Macaca fascicularis: one gene and its partners. The protein of the gene in region 2 interacts with the protein of the main gene of each other region in a pairwise test. Links are inferred from orthologs where the notes say so. Each region holds a gene or a part of one and is shown on either strand. Other genes may lie near its edges.

Region 1 (3,366 bases), on a different chromosome or scaffold from region 2:
CCTCAATCAAATGAGGCAATTGGACTGTGCTGCAGCTAACTGCTACTTACACATCAGAGTTACCCAACATATTTATCTATCCCCCTGACCCAGGCTGACTGCATCAGCATCCCTGGGTGTGGGCTGGGAATGTGTCTTTTCAGCACGCTTCCCCAGCAGGATAAAAGTGCATCTGTAAACTGAGAGCAGGAAACCAGGGGGCAAGACTGTCAACTCATGAAGTCAGGGACATGTTTAATTCATTTGTGAATCCCCTAGTACTGGCACATAGAAAGCGTCCCATATTATTTGCAAAATGAATGAACGAACAAATGAGCAAGTAGGTGGATGGATGATTCTGAGGTCTCCTCCAGCTTTGACAGCCTACGACCGTGTGACTCCTGCATGTGCATGAACACACAGACACAGACAATACACACACGCACAGACACACATACACACTTGAAGCAAAGAGGGATGAAGCCTGCCACACTGCAGGTGGTCCTAGCTGCCTGACCTCCCTTCTTCACACACTGACACACCTCCGTCTTTGTTGACCTGTATTTATTGTGCACCCATTGGGTGCATGGCCTAGCCCCAGGACCTGGCCGGAGACCCAAACATGGCCTCCAAGGGCCAGCCTTCCTTTGTGGAGGTCCAGGCCCCAGAGCTGATTACAACAAGCATGGGAAGGGAGGAGGGTGGCCCAGCAGGAAGGCCGGGGAGGCAGTGCGTCAGCCGGCAGGCAGCAGTGGGTAGCAGTGCCCCTCTTGGCGGGCAGCCTACTTGCACACTTGGCTGAACAGAGACAATGGTGGCTGCTCCCTCCGGCCCAGCCTCCTTCCTACAGGCAGAGCCCCAAGTCCATGAGTCTCCGGAACCTCCCTCAGAGAACAAGTCCAGCTGGGAGGCAGCCAGAGGGCAGGACGAGGAGATTTCCCAGGGGAGAGCAGCAGAGACCCTCTGAGCTGCCAGAGATGGGGAAGGGGTCCAGGCACCCCACAGGAAGGAAGCTTTAAGGCATGTGTAGGAAGGAGCACAGAAGAGTCTCCCAAGCCTGGCCTGGGCCTCACCTGGTCTCCAGCCTCCATCCCATCCCCCACAACTCTCCTGAGCCGTGGCTCCTGCCAGGCAGACCCCTAAGGGAAACTGTCACCACCTTTTACTGCTCTATCCTGTCCAGTGGTCTGAACCTAGAGAACCTCCTTCCCTGCTCTGTTGGAACAAAGGCTTCTTGTTCCCAGGGTTCCAGGGTTCGCTGCAAAGCTCTGGAGGCCCCACCCCGCCCAGCCCTCACTCATGCCACCAGCCCTGCTCTGTTGATGGGCAGTTGGGTATGTGAGACTGTTTCATCTGCTTCAGGGGAAAGGACGACTGTAGGGGGAAAGGAGACAAAGGCACGGGGCCCCACAGCCATGCGGAGCCCTTGAAGCCCCCCAAGGTCTCTGCCCAGAAGGCTGTCCCTTCAGTGGGCAGGACCTTAGCGACTCTGCTCCCTGGGTCACAGGAGGCTGGTTGGGAATCTCTCAAGAGTCCCTGATTCACTCTCCTGGGGCCTCCCCAGGAACGTCAGCTAATTCCCAGAGCAAGACCATCCTCAGGACTGTGGCTCCCCTGGCTGGGTTGCCCAGGGGCCTCTGCTGCCCCAAGCTCTCCCCCAGAAGCCAAGGCCACACCACGTATGCACTGGTTCTCAAACAAGTGCTGAGTTCCCAGCAGGTCTAGGAAATGAGGCCAGTCTGGATTCTGGGGCCTGCAGGGTGACATGGGATGAGCTCCGGGAGGAAAGTCAAGTCCTCAACCTCCCTCTTCCCTTGGGCATGGCCAGGGACTGGGGCTCTGGAGGGACTGCCATGGGGGTGGGGGGCAGCACAGCAGTATTAGGAAAGCTTCAGTGAGCATGAGAATAAGGGCCACAGGGAAATGAGGTTTGTCCTTCAGCAGGGAAAGGAGGTGCCTCATCCATCATGGTGGACTCATTGAAATCAGTCTCCTCCAGGGAGGTCCATCTCAAGTGTACCGTGGAGCAGGGGCCAGTGTCTCCGAGGTGGTGCTGGCTTCACAGCTGATTGCGGTTCCGCTTGGGGATGATCTTCCGGTAGGTTCTGCGCTCTGAGATGTTGCGCTTCACCTTGGCTGTGGTGGGAGCCTCATCCTGGTGCAGGGACGGGCTTGAGTGGGACTTCTTCAGGCTGAGCTTGGGCTCCTGAGTGCCTCCAGCTTCCCTCCCCAGCTGCTCCTCCCACAGGTCCAGAGCATTGGAGGGGCAGTGCAGGCGGGCCACCAGCAGCTCCACGTAGGTCTCGTAGCGGGTTTTCTGCAACACACAGTCCCCACCACCTTAGCACCATCCTGGCTCCAGGCCGGGAGGAGGCTGGAATCGTGAGGGACAGCTCTCAGGTACTTGAAGCTAAGGTGATACAGACCTCTGCAGAAAGAGGGCTGGACCAACAGTGAGTGTCAGTATAATGCTTGGGCAAGCAGACTGCAGAGCACACCTCTGGATAGTATTATAATGACACATATCAGCCCAGCCCTGTTCTAATAATAACCAACCCCTTGGAGTGCTGTAACTAACATCTCTATGCCACGTTCCATCTTTGAGGCACTAAAAGATGTGTCACCCACTATGCCTGAGAGCTTTGCAGCCCTACACACAAACAGCTCACATCTGTACAGCCCTAATTGGGTCTGAATAGCATTTTAACAATTGGCATCTGTGGAGCATGATGCTCACCACCCTCATCTGCTTAACACTGTACTACTAAGGCCCCTGCAGCTAGCATCCTTAGGATATGGTTTCCAGTTTACAAAGTGCTTCCTCACCCTCCATCCCATTGGATCCTCATGCCAGCCCTGGGAGGGGCACAAATCATTGTGGAAGGGAGGGCTGGTGGCTTGCTAAATGTCCTAGCTGGTCAGTGGGAGGAAGAGGTTGGGTCCTCACAGCCACACCCTGAAGCCTCTGAAAAGTGGGGAGTTCACAGCCATGGATACAACCACCAAGCTAAGGGATAGGCTGGGGCCTTGAAAGAGGCAGAAGGCTGCATGAGGGTGCCGTGGGGACAGGCAGGAGGCAATGTTGATTCCCACTTCCTGGGTCTCTGCCTCTGGGTGGCCTCTGATTCCCTCTATTTTCACATTGCATTAACCTATGCTTCCTCCCCAGTGGGCCCTCACCCTAAGCAGGCACTCAGGACCCCTGAAGCAGGCACCCAGTGTTAGGATCCCGGATGAAGTGATGTGACACCAAAACAGAATTGGGGAATGTGGGTGGATGGGTGAGGGTTGGGGGAGACTAGGGGATAAAACATTTCAACATGGGCTGTAGAGCCAACAAAAGTCATTACTGGCCAGGGGCAGTGGATCACACCTGTAATCCCAGCA
Region 2 (4,326 bases):
GAAGACTGCTGGCTTCTGAGCTGGGAGTAATTACAGAGGCTGAAGTTGGCCTTGCCTGCGGCACCCTCTTCTAAAAGAAGCCAGGCTGTGGCTTGGATGTGTGTGTCCTCCCTCTGGCTACTTTTGGCACAGTTTGAAAGGAAGGCACGGCATCCTAGAGAGTTAGAATAAATCCTTCCAATCCTGGAGTTAGAACATCTGTGCCTGAGCAGTTCTGGGGTTCAGACTGCCCTCCGAATGCTCCTAGGAAGCAGCATGGGGTCAGGGTCAAGGTCATGCAGATTCTTGACCCTGGCAGGTTGGAAGGATCACTAGAGATAGCATTGACTCTCATTCACAGAAAAACAAGACTCAGAGAGGGGAAGGACTTGCCTGAGGTCACACAGCAAGTCAGTGTCAGGGGCACATTCCAGATCATACCATTTCTGAGGCTACCTGGGAAGTTGCAGGGGCATGGGGTGGCCCAGCATGCTCAGGTGGTGCCAGGGAGCTACGTGGATGAGTAAAGTAAGGGCAAACTTTTATATACCGACCCTGCGCCTAACAAGGGTCTATACTGCAAGCTTGTCCAACCTGTGGCCCACTGGCCATGTGAGGTCCAGGACGGCTTCGAATGGGGCCCCACACAAATTCGTAAAGGTTCTTAAAACATTATGAGACTTTTTGGGCCGGGTGCGGTGGCTTACAGCCATCCAGCACTTTCGGAGGCTGAGGCAGGCAGATCACTTGAGGTCAGGAGTTCGAGATCAGCCTGGCCAACATGATAAAACTCCATCTCTATTAATAATACAAAAATTAGCCGGGCATGGTGGTGCATGCCTGTAATCCCAGCTACTCGGGAGGCTGAGGCACGAGAACAGCTTGAACCCGGAAGGTAGAGGTTGCAGTGACCCGAGATCGCACCACTGCACTCCAGCCTGGGCGACAGAGTAAAACTGTGTCTCAGGAAAAAAAAACAAAAAAACAAAAAAAACTCATGAGTTTTTTTTTTCTTTTGAGAGATATATGTGTGTGTATATATATATATATATATATATTTTTTTTTTTAGCTCATGGGCTGTTGTTAGTGTATTTTATGTGTGGCCCAAGACACTTCTTCCAATGTGGCCTAAGGAAGCCAAAAGTCTGGATATCCCTGATTTACAGCCTCCACTCTTTCCTAAGTCTCCCACTGCCCTGGACATCGCATTGTTCTTGTCCCTGAACAAGACCTTTCACCATTGGAGGAGCCCTCAGTCTCCCCATCTGTAAAATGGTCACTGGAAATCTAGGCCACTGCTCTCAGACCCGCAGGCTCCTACGGGGTGGGGATTGGGGAGAAGGAGGAAAGCGGGGGCGTCTGGGGCTTGCGATTCGCTATCTTCTGGCGCCTTCGGGCGGCCTCAGAAGCTCTTGGGGCCTGGACCCTGGGCCTGGACAGGGACCAGGCGGGGCGAGATCGGCGGTCGGGGGCGGGGCCCGCCTGGGGGCGTGGCCTGTCCTTCCTTGCCCCGCCCCGTCGGACGCCGCGGCGGAGCTCGCGCCGGGAGGGGAGGAGCGCGCAGCCCGCGCGCTGCAGGGCCGGGCGGAAAGTTTTTCCTGACGGAGTTTTGGTGGCGGCAGCGGTGGCGGCGCCGGAGCGGGCCATGGACGCGCTCAAGTCCGCGGGGCGGGCGCTGATCCGGAGCCCCAGCCTGGCCAAGCAGAGCTGGGGGGGCGGCGGCCGGCACCGCAGTGAGTGTGCGCGCGTCAGCCGGGCCGGGCCGGGGTCGGCGCGCGGGGCCTCCGCCGGCGCCCGGAGTGCGGCCAAGTTGGGCAGAGGCGGGGCCTGACCGGCGCTCAGGTCCCGGCGTGGCCCTTTCCCGGCCCTGCGGGGCAGGGGGTCGGCCGGGGTCAAGTTGCGCACCTACTCCCCGGCCGCTCGGTGCCGCTGCGAGGAGGGGCAGCGCTGAGGAAGGAGCCCGAGCTCGAGGTCCCCAGGTGCAGCCGGCATGGGGTGGGGTGCAGGTTGGGAGAAGAGGCCCCCGCCACCCGCGGCACCTCCCGCCCTGCTGTCCTGGCCAGCTAGGGGGAGGCAGGCCCTGGTCGTCGGTGCCTGAGGGAGGAGGAAAGGGCGCAGGAGCTTGGAAAGACGCCCCCGTCCCGCACCCCTGCGCCCCAGCCAGCGGCTGCGGCGGGCGGGAGCCCACTGGCCCGTTCTCCCGCCCCCTGTCCGACCCACCGGGCCAACTTTTGACTCCGGGTGTCCAGACACCCACCCAGGTGTGAGCCCGGGGTCGCAGGTACGTACTTGAAATTGGGAGAGAGGCCCCGCCTGGGGTGCCTCGGGAGAGCCCTACATGAGGCGGTCTAGACCCCTGCGTCCCTTCCTCTAGTCGGGTCCAGGTGACGAGCCTGGCGTCCCAACTATTTTTGAAACCTGTTTCCTCTCGCACCTTTCCCTTCGGGCTTCTAAAGTCCCTTGGGCGCCCAGGCCAACGGCAGACTCGCTGTCACCTCTCCCTGGAGCGTCTGGGAGGCTGGGAGGGGCCTCCCTGTGGCTTCTTTCTCTCCCTGTCTCTGGTTACGCTCAAGGAACTTGTCTCCTGGCACCTTCCCCTGAAGCCAGAAGACCAGCCCAGCGCAGGTCGCAGGTCTCGTTGTTTGGGAGGGAGAAGAGAGTGGCTTGCCTGGGGTCACACAGACCTTCCTGCCGGTTTTGGAGCCAGAACCCAGGACTGCTGCACACTCCCACCTCCCTGCCAGCCACTTCGGGCCACAGCCTCTCCCCTCATCAGGAAACAACTGACAGTACAGCACCCCCTCACCCCATTCCCTCTTGGCCTTACAGGGCTCCACCAGGGGAGCCCGAGCTCCCTGGTCCCAGGAATGCCAGCGTGTCTGGGCCTAGAGGGCCCGCCTTGCTCCTCCTCTGGCCCCACTCTGTTGTTCAGCTGTGGCCGCCTCCCAACTGAGACTGGCACTGGCATTGGGAATGTGGGGTGGTGCCTGCTGGTGGGGGGTGGTGTCAGAGACCCATTAGGGCTGGGCCAGTGGGCCAGGGGATGCACCGTTTATCACACTGATTGCCTCCCAAAATAGACCCTTTAAAAACTGGCAAGATTTGACCAGAACTTCTGAGAATGGCCATCTGTTCCAGCGGGAGAATCCTGCGGTTTTCTCCAGGAATGAGGGCGGGAGTGTGGCAGGGCAGCCCCCGGGGAAGTGGTTTTGAAGGAAGGGGGGCTGGCAAGAGAAGGGAGGCTAGAAAGAAACATCTCTGAATCTGGGGACGCAGAAGAGGTAGCCACTTTGGATGGTGGAAGAGAATTTCTTTTTTTTTTTTTTTTTTTGAGACGGAGTCTCACGCTGTTGCCCAGGCTGGAGTGCAGTGGCGCGATCTCGGCTCACTGCAAGCTCCGCCTCCTGGGTTCACGCCATTCTCCTGCCTCAGCCTCCTGAGTAGCTAGGACTACAGGCGCCCGCCACCGCACCTGGCTAATTTTTTGTATTTTTCGTAGAGACGGGGTTTCACTGTGGTCTCGATCTCCTGACCTTGTGATCCGCCCGCCTGGGCCTCCCAAAGTGCTGGGATTACAGGCTTGAGCCACCGCGCCCGGCCGAGAATTTCTCTTGCCATCTTCAATCTTGGGCAAGTCACTTGTCCTTTCTGATGCTTGGTTTCCTCATCTGCAACATGGGGATAAAAACTCTTACCTGGCAGGAGTATCAAGGAGATTATTGGTAATAATGCTCCCTCCTAACTGGTGGCTTTCTTCTGCCCTGCTCCTCTTCCCCCTGCCTATCCTTGGGACGCCGCCAGCATGATTAGTACTGTGGTGAGATGGGTTTTGGGGGCCCAGAGCTCGTCTGCACCTTTGGAGGAAAGGAGAGGAGCACCTCTCTCCCTCCTCCAGGCCCCAGTAAGCCCAGAGTGCTGTCCTGGAGCCTCTGGACCTGAAGGAGGGCGGGCCGAGCCCCACCTGTCCCTCGTGATGAGGTCTCAATTTCCTCACCTGTAAATTGCAAATAACAGTAGTACCTGCCTCCAACTGTTTGTGGGGATCAAATGAAATTGCGTTTGCCTGGCATAGAGGAAGACTTTGGTAAATGGTAACTACTTTTTTTGTAACTGTTTTACAACGTGTTTTTGCTTCCATTCTCTCATTGACTCCTGTGAGGTGACAGAGCAGGCCCATTTTAGAGACAAAGGAACTGAGATTCTGAGCATTGGAGTCATTGGCCCCAGACACAGAACGTCTAAGAGGCAGAGCTCCACATTCCTAGCGCAGAGGTCTTGGTGGATTCTGCCATGGGAGGAGCTGGGAGCAGTCCTCACCCACCCCAGGTTGGGCTGGCAGCCTCTGA
Region 3 (4,199 bases), on a different chromosome or scaffold from region 2:
GGAGCTCCTCTGCAACAAGACATGCCTGCAGCGAGTGACGTCCCGCTGCCCTCTTATCAGACACACGTCTATGTGATCACAAGTCCCTGCCTAGAAAAGACGCTGACCCACGGGGCGCAATGGTCTACAAAGCTGGAAATGAAGGTCTGCTTGATTCAGTAGAGGAGGAGGCATGCCAAATGTTGACAGCATCGAGCCCTTTTCCTTAGTTGTAAGGCCCTCAGGTCTTTCCAAGGGCGCACTATTAGCGTTTAATCACAGCCTCCATGCTGGCCAAGCATTGGTTGGCTTCGGGGCTCCGCTCGGAAGCTCTCCCTGCAGCTTCTCTAAAGAGCTGGAGCAATGGTGGGTCTCAGACTAAAGGCGATAGCTTTGCAAACCGCAAGCACACCCGCCAGCTCAGTCCAGCGGGAGCCCTGGGGGAGGGCAGATGCACTCACGGCAGCTTACATGTGAACCGCACAGAGCTGGGCAGCGCCTATCTCATGCAGAGCTCATTTTTAAGCGGCAAGGTTATAATTTCTAGCCTTAACGTTGTCCATCTTGATTTTCTCCTGTCAGTTCCTTCTTGTCCACTATACTGACCACATAGGTACAAGGTGAAAGAAAAGAAACCCACCTGAAATCTAGGTCAGGCCACTGAGTGTGGGAGAGAAGTGGAGGGCAGTGCCCAGCAGAGCGGGGCAACCACAGTTCCACAGCTGAGCGAGGGGAGCCCTGGCACTCCAGGCTTCTGGGGAGCAGCCCTCCGGTGCCTGCAGCTGCCTGACATGGAAGCAAGCACCCAGGCCAGCGTCGGGTTCACTCTGCATCCTGGCTGGGCACTTCTGGGGTGGGTGACCTTGGTGCAGCCCCTCCACTTCTTGGGACAAGTTTCCTTCCCAGTAAAATGCCTACAGTCACCCTGAGCTCCAAAATCCATGAACCCTTGCGTTCCCTTAGGTTGAGAACTTTAACTCAGTTTTGCTGGAACCGCGGCATTCCAATCAACACACAACCGCCTCCCGACAGACATGACCCAAACGCAATAGAAACCGCAGTAAAGGAGGAATGACACAACATACTGTTATTATTTTTATAAACACGCTTTAAACCAAACTAGGCCATAAATCACCTTGGTTTCAGAAAAAGCCAAAATACTGACACCATCTTTTATTTTCCTATTAAAGTCAAGAATGTGTTAATCCAAATTAATTGAAAAGGAATTGAAGCTCATTTCCTAAGACACGTCTATTCATAAGTCAAACAGCATTACCTAACTCCTAGAATGAGGCAATTTCTGGGCTTAGAGATCGGCCTAGTGCAATTCACTCCTTTGATGGAAAATCAAATCCCAGGCAGTCGACAGGCCAAGGTCACAGAGGCAAAGTAGGGATGGGAACCAGCCTCCCTGAACCTGTTTCCCACAAAGGGCGAGGCTCTGGGCCCGCACGCAGGCAGGCCGAGCTCAGTATCTGATGGTGAATGAATGTAGCGAAGTGGAGCTCCCCACAGGGCACGGCTCTTGTAACTGCTTCACAAGTAAGCGATTTCCAGGTTATGGAGACATCCTAGTACAGAATTAAACGCTTCAAACTCAGACTTTTAACTCCTCAGAAGCCAGAGTGGTTTCTCAGCCCTGGCTACATCAGCTAACAATCTCGCCAAGCAAGGCACCAAGGGGCAAAGAGATCACCTCCAGAAACTCGAGTGTTCCTTCTGCTGACAGAGGAGCAGCCCGCCTGCGGCCTTGTTCTGTGTTTACATCAACCACCCAATTCACCCATGTCACAGACCTTCAAAATACGGACTTAGGGACAAGGCAAGGTCTCCAACATCAACAGACGGCTGCAGCACCCTAAGAACACCAAAGATTCCTTTTCTAGGTGGGTTTAGAATGGCAGCCAACAGAGGTAGCACTTGGGGTCGGGAAACGGTTTTGACTGAATACACGCACGAAAGCAAAGGGAATTGGCATGCAGAGGTGGGTGGGGAGGGGAGAGTGAGGCCTGGCTTTGAAGCTGAGCTCCCCGAGGATGATGCCAGGCACATCGGGTTTGGGGCTGAGCGTTCAGGGCTGGGGGCCCGGAGGAGGGGGCCAGGGCCCAGGCCTGGGCGGAAAAGGGGGTCCCCGGGGATCGGGGTGGGGTTCCGGGGCAGGCGGGGGGTGCTCTAGGGAGGTGTCTCACGGCGGGCACAGGGGGTGGGGAAGTCCCGGGGAGGGGGATGGGGGTCCAGGCGGGTCTCGGGGCGGGGTCTGGGGGTCCGGGGCGCCGGGGCGAGGTCTGAGGTCGGGACAGGTGTGGGTCCCGGACCCGGGGCTGGCTGGGGGTCCGGGACGGGGATGCGGGCGGGTCCCGCGGCCCACGCACCTCCTCCGCCTGCCTGCGCAGCGCCTTCTCGCGCTCGTACTGGGTGAGCAGCTGCTCGTTGTCCTCGCGCAGCAGCTCCAGCTCCACCTCGTGCTCCTGGTTCTCGCTGAGCACTGAGTCTAGGTTCTCCAGCACGTTCACCACCAGCGGCATGAGCTCCTTGACCACCTCCTCGTCGTAGCAGTGGATGAGGCGCTCGAACTCGCGGTAGATGGAGCCCGCCAGGCCCGACACCCGCTCCGACATCACAGAGCCGGAGCAGTAGTCGTCCTGGTACACCACCACGCCGCCGCCCTCGTCCATCTGGATCTCCATCATCGCGGCCACCGCCGCCGCCAGCGCGGCTCGCTATCTGGCCGGCGCGCCCGGCCCTCCCCGGCTGCCTCAGGTCCCGCAGGCCGCGGCCCGTCGCCTCCCGCAGCTGCTGTCGCCTCAGGGCTCAGCCGCCGCCGCTGCCGAGGAAGCGCCCGTCACTCATTCGCCGGAAGTCCCGCCCTCCAGCCAGAGGGGGCGGTGCCCGCGCGCCCAGCCGCAGCCGCGACGCCAGGGGGCGCAGGGGCCGTGACGTCAGAGGAAGCCGGGCTTCGGGCCGGAAGCGCGGCTGAGTTGGGCAGAGGGAGATGTTCTCCAGGATGGTGGGATCCGCGGGACGGCGGTGGTCGCTATCCCCAGCGCGCGGTAGCTTAAGCATGTCCCCGCCACCCTGGGCTTTCGGTGACCTCGGTCGCATCTCCGGGCTCTGCACACACCGGCGACTTTAGGTGAAGGCTCAGCGCCTGCGCCTCCACCCCGGCCGCCCTGATGAGCCTGCGTTCCCTACAGCACTGCGCCCCGCTCAGTCCACGCCCAGCGCCTCCCTTCCTAGTGCCTCCCCTCTCCTAGTGCCTTCCGCAGTCAGCTGGCTCCTCCCGGGATTCTGTGAATGCACCCTCAACGCCCATCTCATCCTGAAACCCAGCAGCGTGGCCTCCTTCCTTTCGCCCACTTGTCCCTAACGCACTGTGTGACTGCTTCAGATTTTCGTGGTTTTTTTTTTTGAGATGGAGTTTCGCTCTGTCCCCCAGGCTGGAGTGCAGTGGCGCGATCCCGGCTCACTGCAAGCTCCGCCTTCCGGGTTCAAGTGATTCTCCTGCCTCAGCCTCCGGAGTAGCTGGGATTTTTGTACTTTTAGTATTTGGTATTTTAGAGACGGGGTTTCGCCATGTTGGCCAGGCTGGACTCAAGTGATCCGCCCGCCTCGACCTCCCAGAGTGTTGGGATGACAGGCGAGAGCCACCGCGCCCGGCCAGATTTTCGGTTTCCTTTCAGCTATGTGCAATCTGTTTAACCCATCCATTGGGTTATTAATTTCAGCGATTTTTTTTTTTTTTTGAGACGGTGTTTCGCTCTTGTCGCCCAGGCTGGAGTGCGACGATCTCGGCTCACTGTAACCTTCGCCTCCTGGGTCCAAGCGATTCTCGTGCCTCAGCCTCCTGAGTAGCTGGGACTACCGATGCGCCATTAACGCCTGAATCTTTTTTTTTTAATTTTTTTTTATTTTTAGTAGAGACAGGGTTTCACCATGTTGGCCAGGCTGGTCTCGAACTGCTGACCTCAAGTCATCCACCCGTCTCCCTTGGCCTCCCAGAGTGCTGGGATTACAGGCGTGAGCCACTGCACCCAGCCAATTATTCTATTTTTGTCCTATTTGATTTCTTATATTCTAGCAGTTTTGATAGGCTCTTATACTTCCAACCACGTATTTATCTTTAAGCTTTGTGTGTATGCCTCATAACTACAGTATCTGCAGCCTTTGCAGGTCTGATTCTGCGTGTCATCCTGGTTGACTCTTGGCTCAGGCTCCCCTTT

What was found.
Region 1: the proteins of LDLRAP1 (region 2) and PSD4 interact in binary tests that used the Homo sapiens proteins (3 or more experiments, as listed by UniProt). The two-hybrid records come from large-scale screens. The link is inferred for Macaca fascicularis from reciprocal best matches to the Homo sapiens genes LDLRAP1 and PSD4.
Region 3: the proteins of LDLRAP1 (region 2) and MAPK8IP3 interact in binary tests that used the Homo sapiens proteins (3 or more experiments, as listed by UniProt). The two-hybrid records come from large-scale screens. The link is inferred for Macaca fascicularis from reciprocal best matches to the Homo sapiens genes LDLRAP1 and MAPK8IP3.

The regions. Positions count from the first base shown.
Region 1 is NC_088387.1:20,210,465-20,213,830, reverse strand, and holds the end of PSD4 (PH and SEC7 domain-containing protein 4), read right to left. Parts: intron 2,297-3,366; coding exon 2,039-2,296; 3' UTR 529-2,038; downstream 1-528. UniProt on the Homo sapiens protein: Guanine nucleotide exchange factor for ARF6 and ARL14/ARF7. Through ARL14 activation, controls the movement of MHC class II-containing vesicles along the actin cytoskeleton in dendritic cells. Involved in membrane recycling.
Region 2 is NC_088375.1:209,615,500-209,619,825, reverse strand, and holds the start of LDLRAP1 (low density lipoprotein receptor adapter protein 1), read left to right. Parts: upstream 1-1,512; 5' UTR 1,513-1,625; coding exon 1,626-1,713; exon of another isoform or gene 1,714-2,261; intron 2,262-4,139; exon of another isoform or gene 4,140-4,326. UniProt on the Homo sapiens protein: Adapter protein (clathrin-associated sorting protein (CLASP)) required for efficient endocytosis of the LDL receptor (LDLR) in polarized cells such as hepatocytes and lymphocytes, but not in non-polarized cells (fibroblasts).
Region 3 is NC_088394.1:2,471,320-2,475,518, reverse strand, and holds the start of MAPK8IP3 (C-Jun-amino-terminal kinase-interacting protein 3), read right to left. Parts: upstream 2,832-4,199; 5' UTR 2,670-2,831; coding exon 2,352-2,669; intron 1-2,351.